Nothobranchius furzeri: one gene and its partner. The protein of the gene in region 1 interacts with the protein of each later gene in a pairwise test. Links are inferred from orthologs where the notes say so. Each region holds a gene or a part of one and is shown on either strand. Other genes may lie near its edges.

Region 1 (4,464 bases):
TTGTTTGCGGAGGAGAGGAGGTCCTTGTTTGGCTGTCTAGAGGCTACAGGGACGGTCGTGTTCGGCTGGCAGGCCCTGTTGGCGGTGCCTGATCGGGTCGTGATTGGGGCACTGCTACGTTTTCCTCGTGCTGTAGGGGTGTACGAGAGGCTGTGAAGGGAGTGGCTGTCGAGAAATGGTTGCTGTGGCAGCAATGCGCCCTTTGGGCATCCAGCATGTCTTCAGTGAAGAAGACCCGAGAGCCACCAAACAGTTCCAGAGTCAAAAGGCCCCAGAAGATGCTGATCCAGTTACTGAATCAGTGAGGGTCCAGGAGGGTGCTTGGAATAAAATCTAAATCCTGAATCTGAAGTCAGTTCCTGCTCTCAAGACCAGATTGTTTGAACCTTGTGTTCTCCACACCGCTTGAATCAGTGGTTTTCAGGTCTGGTCTCCACCAGTGGTTACTCTGGTCCTCAGGACACACCGTCTTGCATGTTTTCTGTGTTGCCCTTTTAAACACCCTGCTGCCACACACCTGGCTTAGATGAATAAGTGACTAACAGGCCTCTGCAGTGCTTGATGTCCTCCAGAGGAGCCAATGTAAATCTGGTGTGCTGAAGCAGAGACATGGGAAAACATATAGGACAGTGTGCCCTGAGGACCAGGGTTGGGAAACACCATGCATCTTGACAATTAAAGCACCATGATGCACAAATGTCAAGCACATCACTGAGAACCATTGCTCAAACTAAATTTGCACAAATAAACTGATAAAAGGTTACTTTTCTTACAGCCCCACATAAGTGCACTCCACAAGGCTTTCTGCATGACTCACTCTGCTTGAGATGTTGAAAGCTTTCCATAATTATAACTAATACAATGAGGCGGACAGGCTAACCACATCTTGTAAGTTTTCCCACCTCTCTAACCTCTGCCCTACTTACTTTTATGACAGCTTTGATTTTTGACATGAAAAAGTGTCTCCTTGATTAGCAGCTTTGCTCCATCATCACAACTGTTTCTGTTATCTCATAGCTTTCGTGGCAGCGCATCGATACTGATAACTGTGGTGGGTTACCACTTGTCAAGAAATTTAGGGAGTATTGTCTCTTTGGTGCATTTTCTCCAAACAAAATTGTTCATAAAACTGAAAGCACCCAAATATTGGTAGATTACTAAAATTAAACATTCAATTCAATTCAAAACTACTTTATTAATCCCAGAGGGAAACTGATTGCTGTAGTAGCTCAGAATAATAATAATAATCAAGTCATCAAAGAGTTGTTGTATATTACAATGGCTGTTGGCAGGAAGGATCTCCAGTAGCGGTCAGTGTTGCAGCCAAACTGAAGAAGCCTCTGACTGAAGACACTCTTCCGTTGTCGGACAGTCTTGTGAAGAGAATGCTCAGGGTTGTCCATCATTTTCTTGATTCTCTGGAGAATCCTTCTTTGCATTATCTCCTCCAGCGGTTCCGAAACTGCCGACACTCTGGCTGAGTCCTTGAAAGGGCTTGGAGTTCCTCCGTCTTGTTGGCCAGTGATCTCACATTGCCCGTTATGATCGATGGAAGAGATGGTTTGAATTTCCTCTTTCTCTGTCTCCGTTTAGCTCCCGCTCTGCACCCACGCTTCTTGCGTTTTAGATCATTTTGGATTTGTGGCTTCAGTTGAGGTATTATTTCAGCCTTTCCAATGTTAATCAGCTGCTCCGATTGTAAACAGCTCGTTGCCATGGTTACGCATCATAACAAATGCTCATAAAGTGAAAAAAGCTAAAAAATAGCAGTAAAAATCCTCCAAGCTTCACAGCACCAGAAACAGAAAAGTAAAGTGTCCAAAAAATACAGTTTTTCTTGAGAAACTAGAAGAAAAAATGCCGAAGAAAAGGCAAAACTTACATAAAGTCAACAGAGCTACTCCAACATGCAGCCACCCAGAGCAGCGCAGTTCCAGAGTTCATGAAATATTAAAATAAGGTTTGCACATATACTAATATTTACACCATGAATAAAAGCCAGATGTGTCTACCAAAGAGATGCTTAAAGCCAAATAAATCAAAATATGGTACTTATTACTTCAAAAAAGTGATATAGGTACTAATACCGAGACAGTGTGTGTGTGTGTGTGTGTGTGTGTGTGTGTGTGTGTGTGTGTGTGTGTGTGTGTGTGTGTGTGTGTGTCAGCAAAACTGTGAGCATCTTGGAGCAACCACCGCGGAGTGTGTGGAAAACGAGCGGTGGACCACATTTCCACTGTCAGTGTCTTGATGTTTTATAACCAAAAACATGACCCTCGTGTTGTTAAGCAGCTCGGTGAACGTCTCCATGCGTTTCACAGCCCCACGGTGACAAGATTTGTACAGATATAGGAGGGAGGCTCAGAAGTTATCGCGGCAGGATTGGTGCTCTCGAAGAAACTGTTCCAGATACCTGTGAAGGCCCGTCTCCATTGCTAGCCTGTTAGCACTTAGGTCACGTCTGGTTAACGTTTAGCAACCCGGCATTTACCCAAGCCCCGGGCACTTTCTAGCTCCGGTGCTCGCTGGAAATAATTTAAACTATGCCGACAGACTGAGTGCGTTGCTTCCATCTTTCATTAAAAAATGTCTAGCTCGCTAATATTAGCTCACAGCAGCTAGCTACGGAACGCGATCTGTCAAGACTTGGCCGCTGAGCTAGCATTCGTCCTCGCGCTCCACAAAACCAGACTGGACCAGAGTGCTGGGAAAATATCCATGACGATCTATCAGGGATTAAAAACCACAGACAAAGCTATCCCATTAGCAAAATACAGACTTAAAGTCGTTTTATACTTACAGAATATTCCACAAAATCCGTAGATCCATTCAAATGTGATGGTAATATGTAATAGCAACACATAGAACTGTGACATAAACGATTTTCAATCAGTGACCCAGTTTCTCTTCACCGTCATGACTGTCGAACCACTAACCTAGTTTTTCATCCAATGGCGTTCGCTTTGGCCTCGTAGGTGGCGCTCCAGCCAATCAGACGTCACACTTGGCTGGAAAAATATGACGGGCGTGATAATCGGCCAATGAGCGTTAAGTAGGAACGGAATGCGGAGACCAGTTGTGTGAGAGCGTGTTATGGAAAACACACCGCAAACAAACCACTTAGGAAGCCTTACAGCACGAGCTGGCCCCCGCTTAATAACATTATGATTTATTCTGATAATACGTTTACGACGATCTAAGACCAGTTCACGTTTTTATATAAATATATTCCGTTTTTATCATTTTTCATTATATTTTCTAAAGCTGTTCTTTCTGTACAACTTAATTGAAAAGAACATGCTGTTCTTATCCTTTATCCTCATGTTTATTGACATTTTTATTGTAAACTATCCTCTAAATGACCGGTGTGACTTTCATTCAAAATACGGTTGTTTTTATTTTATTCTAATTGTTAAAGTGAAACATTCAAAACAACATTTATTTGGGTTACTAATTGTAGTCTTACATATTTGGGCTTTGGCGCCCCCTGCTGGTTATTCATGTAGGTTATTTTGGTACATGATTATAAAATGAGGAAAATAGAAAAACATTTATTTCCGGTTGTCTTTTTTCATGATGTAATGAAAAGAAAATTAAAGAAAGATTTTGAAACATTTTCAACCCATTTATTGGCAAAGTGAATGACGTGTTAGCCCACTGATGCCGGGGTAAATTCTGTAATTTGTATATTTGGTTTGAAATAAAAGTGAAAGTAACGTTAACAGGTCTTTTAAGTTAAATTGTTGCCTCCTTTGAATTGCCTATAATGATAAAAAATGAACACATCTACTGTGGGGCGGGCGAGTTTCCTTAGATATACAGAGTTTGAGTAATTTATTATATGAAATGTATGTAAAATAAAAATATATTTTCTGGCGGATTATCTCGAAATATATCCGAAGGGTAGCTGATCTAAAATGTGCAATATTCTATCACGCCACTAGAGGGTAGTAGCTGTTCAAATTAAAATTTCCAAATTTCTTCATGGATTTGCAATTTTTTTTTTGTTCTTTGACTTCTTTTATTTGTTAATACTTTGATTTCTTCAACAATAAACTACATATATTGTAAGTCTGTGACGTTTTTAAGTAAAAATTGTTATTGTGAGATTAGTATTTACTCATTTGGATATGGTTTGATTGAATATTATAACATCTTTAACGATAAAAAACACACAAATATGTCTGATATTGTCTTCAATTATTCATCAATTCAACAAATTAGTAAAATTTGTGATAATAGGCGTAGTTTGTGTGACTAAGATTTATTATTTTATCGGCACTATTTATTTATTTATTTATTAAATTAAGATAGCCCATATAATTATGATAATTAAAAACTGTGTTGCATTTAAAATGGCATTTCCTAAAAAGTTGAAAACCAAACGTTACGAGGATCACATGAAGGCGTCACGCCTATGACATGGCAGGTGAGAGAGTTCGCGCGACACTACAACAGACGCAC
Region 2 (4,322 bases), on another chromosome or scaffold:
CTGCACACCTCTAAAAGCCCTGCAGAGTTTTTTTTAATATAGTTTTTTGATAAACTGTTCCATACTCAAGGTGAAGCACATAAGAATAAAGTAAGATGACATCCTGTGGTCAAATTTGGTTACTGCAATCTCGTTCACTTCTGTTTCGTGAGTTTTGTGGCTGTCATCTACAGCTCAGCACCAAAAGATTCTAGGTAACAAGCACAGATGAGTCATACACAGTAAGTTGATAAATACGTTGTCATATCTGGTGCTAGCACTATTGGGTGTTTTACGTTAGGAAGCACTTCCTACATGTATTACGGTAAAATACCTCTTGCATACAAGAAGTGTTTTTACGGTCTGGCTGATAGATTAGTTATTGCTCTGAATGACTCATTCAAGGGAGTAAAGCGCCATATTTGACTCATTATTCACTTTATGCAAAAATTTCACTGTAATAAGATATTTTTAGAGCTGACTATTTGCTTCTAATTTACTGTTAGCATTGTTAGCTCAATGTTAGCCTCTAGCCGTCTTTACTTGATATTAGAGTACAACAAAAAGATGCCGTGGCTTCCTAGGGTTACAAGAAAAAAAATTTGGGTTGCTCTTGTTCCAGACTTTGGTTCTTTAAACAACTCTAGAGATTTTTGATGGCTGTAGTCGAGTTACAAATGCCGGCGCTGCAGTGTTAGCTCACACTCACTGATGCTAAACTGTAGCTACTTCCCTCCTTCTATTTTGAAAGGAGAAAAAAAAGACAACCCTGCCAGCCAGCAAAAAATTCAATATGTTTAAGGACAGCCTTCCTTCCAACATGACTGAGACATTAAGACTGCTTTGGGAAATCTTACTCTATTCTTACACAATGCACCTTTAAATTTATTTTATTTAAGATTTAAAGATTAGCATAAAATAGTTAATCCAAGACGACTGACTGAATTGAAGTCGATATTAGTCAAATAGCAACCTGTTGTCAGATTTCAATCAATTTCATGAGATCGATCAGCATAGGCTGAACATTCAGCATTCATTTTATGTGGATCACTGCTCTGTTTTCTTAAAGAGACAGAGCATTGCACTGATCCCTTTTGCTGCTACGCAGACCCACACCATTTGTGCATGCCTAGTCACACTAAGCAGCTCTAGCAACATTCAGACTAGCATTCAGTTTAAGCTTCAGGACATGGCCCAGTAACCTACTTTCCCCACAACATGCTCTGTAACATCAGAGACGAGGCTGTGTGTCATCAGTTAACTAACCTTCAGCACAGCACCGTTCTAGCAGGAAAAAAAGCCAAAGATATTTCACACACAGTATTGCTGAAGCAAAAAAATAAGTAAAAAATAGGAACAGAAGTGATCAGTTATGTCGCTGGAAAAAGAAATCTCCTGCAAAGCCCTTGTAAGGTTGGGCTAAAACTGAAAAATGTCTACTTATATTTACCGGTAATACATTTAAACAAGCAGCAAACCAAATTACATTACAAGATGACATTTTTTAGCAGAAAGCAAGTTCAAATGGAAGCTACCTACATAAATAATGCTTTATAAATTTGTCTCTAGCCCTCATTTATGAGTTCAAAGGACAGCTGAGGGTGACATGGTTTTCTTCATCAGCAATAATAGCCCCTGAACTATCTTCAGTCCAAGTTTCTATGTGAACACACCCTAAAGCAAAGCAGAAAATGTACTTTTAACTAATGCTGTACATGAATTCAGATTGTCCATTTTAGTAACAGTGCTAAAAAATTAGCTGAGAAGCAACATAGATGACATGAGTCATGAGGCTGGCCCAAATGTTAATCAGCATGATGTAAACAGGAACATATGGTGCCGTGAACACCCCATTTCAGTAATCATGGAACTAGGCATCCTGTCCCACTCAGCTGTTCGCATACATCCTCATCACAATCCATGTCTGCTGTGTCAGCCTTGGTGTTAACACATCAGGCCAGAAAAACATATCCATAAACAAGACAACATATGCATAGAAGCATATTGAACAATATATGTTCTTTTTGACAGCACCAAAGACTTTTATTTTGAAAATCAGAACTAGAACAGTATTGAGGCTTTTCACCATCATCATATGCCATGTATGAAATCTAGTTTTCACACCTGGATTACTTAATCAATTTTTGCATTCTTTCATATTTCATTAAGCCTGAAAAATGTACCAATCTCTCAATAAAAGCTCAGCTGTAACAATCAGGGCGAGTTTGACCAAAAGGAACAGCAGGTTCCCAGGTGGCTTTGTGACAACACACACTAAGCTTCATTATACACTAGTCACAACAAAACAGTGACGGGGTCAAGCTTTCAACTTCACTCAGTTTCACACAAAATCAGAAATGTTTTTTAGAAAGCATCCTCATAACATAATATTTTTTTAGGTCAGTGTTAGCTTGTAACTATTTATAGCAACAGGGCTAAAGTAATAAACCAGGAACGTCTAAAACACGAAAGAGCAAATATTAAACAGCTATTATAACATTTCAAAGCAACAAATGTTGTTGCTTTTATTTCTAAAACATGATTAATATCGCCTGTTAATCGAGATAGACAGAAATTTGGGGAAAATTTTAGCCGCTGTTAGCTTGTTATATGACAACTGTCAAACCTGTAAATTTGAAAACATAGAAGGAAGAGCTTACCGTATTCTGTTAAATAAAGATGAGATTCCAAAAAACGAGAAGATGTAGCGAGAGTGGGGAAAGTGGGCTTGAAAACCTCAATGTCTGAAAAAGTTGACAAGAAAAAATTGTATTGCTGGGAAAAACTGTAATATTCTCCGTATTTTTGGGATTAAACCCAGTCGAAGGGAGAGAAAATGCTCCGGCTACCGACACCGGCATTTTACATAATGATACTGAGAACCGCGGAGCTGACCAACACCGGGGTCTTGAGTCCACAGCTACAGAGACAGAGGCTGAATAAGCGACGTAACATGTCTTTGGGCTGGTCGGAGCCCCGCCCACTAGTGAGCACGCGCTTGATAATACTTCAAAATAAAATTCACCTCAGGTACATAACTATTAAAAATAGTTATTCATTAATTCATTCTTAATAAAAAAGGCAGCATTTAAAAAAACACTCAGTTTTTCGCATTTGCGGATCACTTGTTTGAGACTGACGCTAGCGCCATCATAAGGTGGGTGGGTTTACCGGGTGACGAAAAAAATTCTAAACCAGATTGGTCCGATGTATTCAATCAATTTTCTTTATTGAAGAAAAACAAAACAAATGGAACACAAACACCAGTAACAGGAAAATAAAAAAAACATTTATTAAATAATTACAAAACAATTACAGGTTTTGGGAACATGGGGGTCTTTTTCATGCACATTTCCAAAATTGATGTTTGTCCAAATGTTTATTGGCACTGTGTTCAAGTTACCCCCTAAAGTTAAAGTTAATAGCTTCTTTCAACTCATTGTATTGGTCATGTTTTTTTTTCATGATCTTGTGCGTAATTAATTGAAAAGTGTGAAGATAAAAATGATTTGTGAGGTTTTCCCATTGCTATTGTCAACATGACATGGCCCTGAATTTTTGGCATCCCTCGCTTTCTTAATGAAAGGTTAAATACGATTATAGTGTAAACTTTGACTTAGATAAGAGGACGTATTTTATGGGGTAAACCAAATGTGTTCTGGAACAATCCTGTGTGATTTAAGAGATCCAAGATGTTTCACATCTGGATGTTCTTTAATGTTTTTCTTATGCTCATTAAATTAGCATCAAAATCTCAAAACAAAGAAAAACGGACTTGTTTTCATAGAGAAGCTAGAACCAATCAGTTTGAGGCTTTAGAAACATTTAAAGGGTGTTAACTTCCTTCAGAACAGGTCAGGCTAGTTTTATTGAAACATGTGTATATGACACTGAGATTTGTTTTTTGGCAAAGAAATAACAGCATACCCATAAGTATTTATCAATCCAAGCTCCCATTACAGTTTCACCCACGTGACAGAAGTCTGCATTTAAATGAAAAACAAAATTGGGGTCAAACTGTAATTCTTTATTAAAAATCACATTGTTTTATTACCCAATTTGGTTTAAAACAAATGCAGGAATTTTAAAAAAAGTAGATCAGTACATGTGACTTGCAGGGTTTTCCGCAGGATGGACGTCAAACCAACAAATGGCAATGTAAAACATTACATTAGTGAAGTAAATAATAAACGTTAAGTCAGACAGTTAGTTGACTCATAAATTTGTCTGTCTAACTGGTTATATATAGCTCTTTTTTTTTTACTCGTCCTTATTTGCCTCCTAAGACTTGAAACCATCATTAAATACGAGCTGTTTGTAACTGTAATGTTAACCCAGTTCTG

The links.
Region 2: the proteins of bmal1a (region 1) and npas2 interact in binary tests that used the Homo sapiens proteins (3 or more experiments, as listed by UniProt). The link is inferred for Nothobranchius furzeri from reciprocal best matches to the Homo sapiens genes BMAL1 and NPAS2.

What each region holds. Positions count from the first base shown.
Region 1 is NC_091744.1:85,094,348-85,098,811, reverse strand, and holds the start of bmal1a (basic helix-loop-helix ARNT like 1a), read right to left. Parts: upstream 2,959-4,464; 5' UTR 2,801-2,958; intron 1-2,800. UniProt on the Homo sapiens protein: Transcriptional activator which forms a core component of the circadian clock.
Region 2 is NC_091750.1:49,104,531-49,108,852, reverse strand, and holds the start of npas2 (neuronal PAS domain-containing protein 2), read right to left. Parts: upstream 2,871-4,322; 5' UTR 2,640-2,870; intron 1-2,639. UniProt on the Homo sapiens protein: Transcriptional activator which forms a core component of the circadian clock.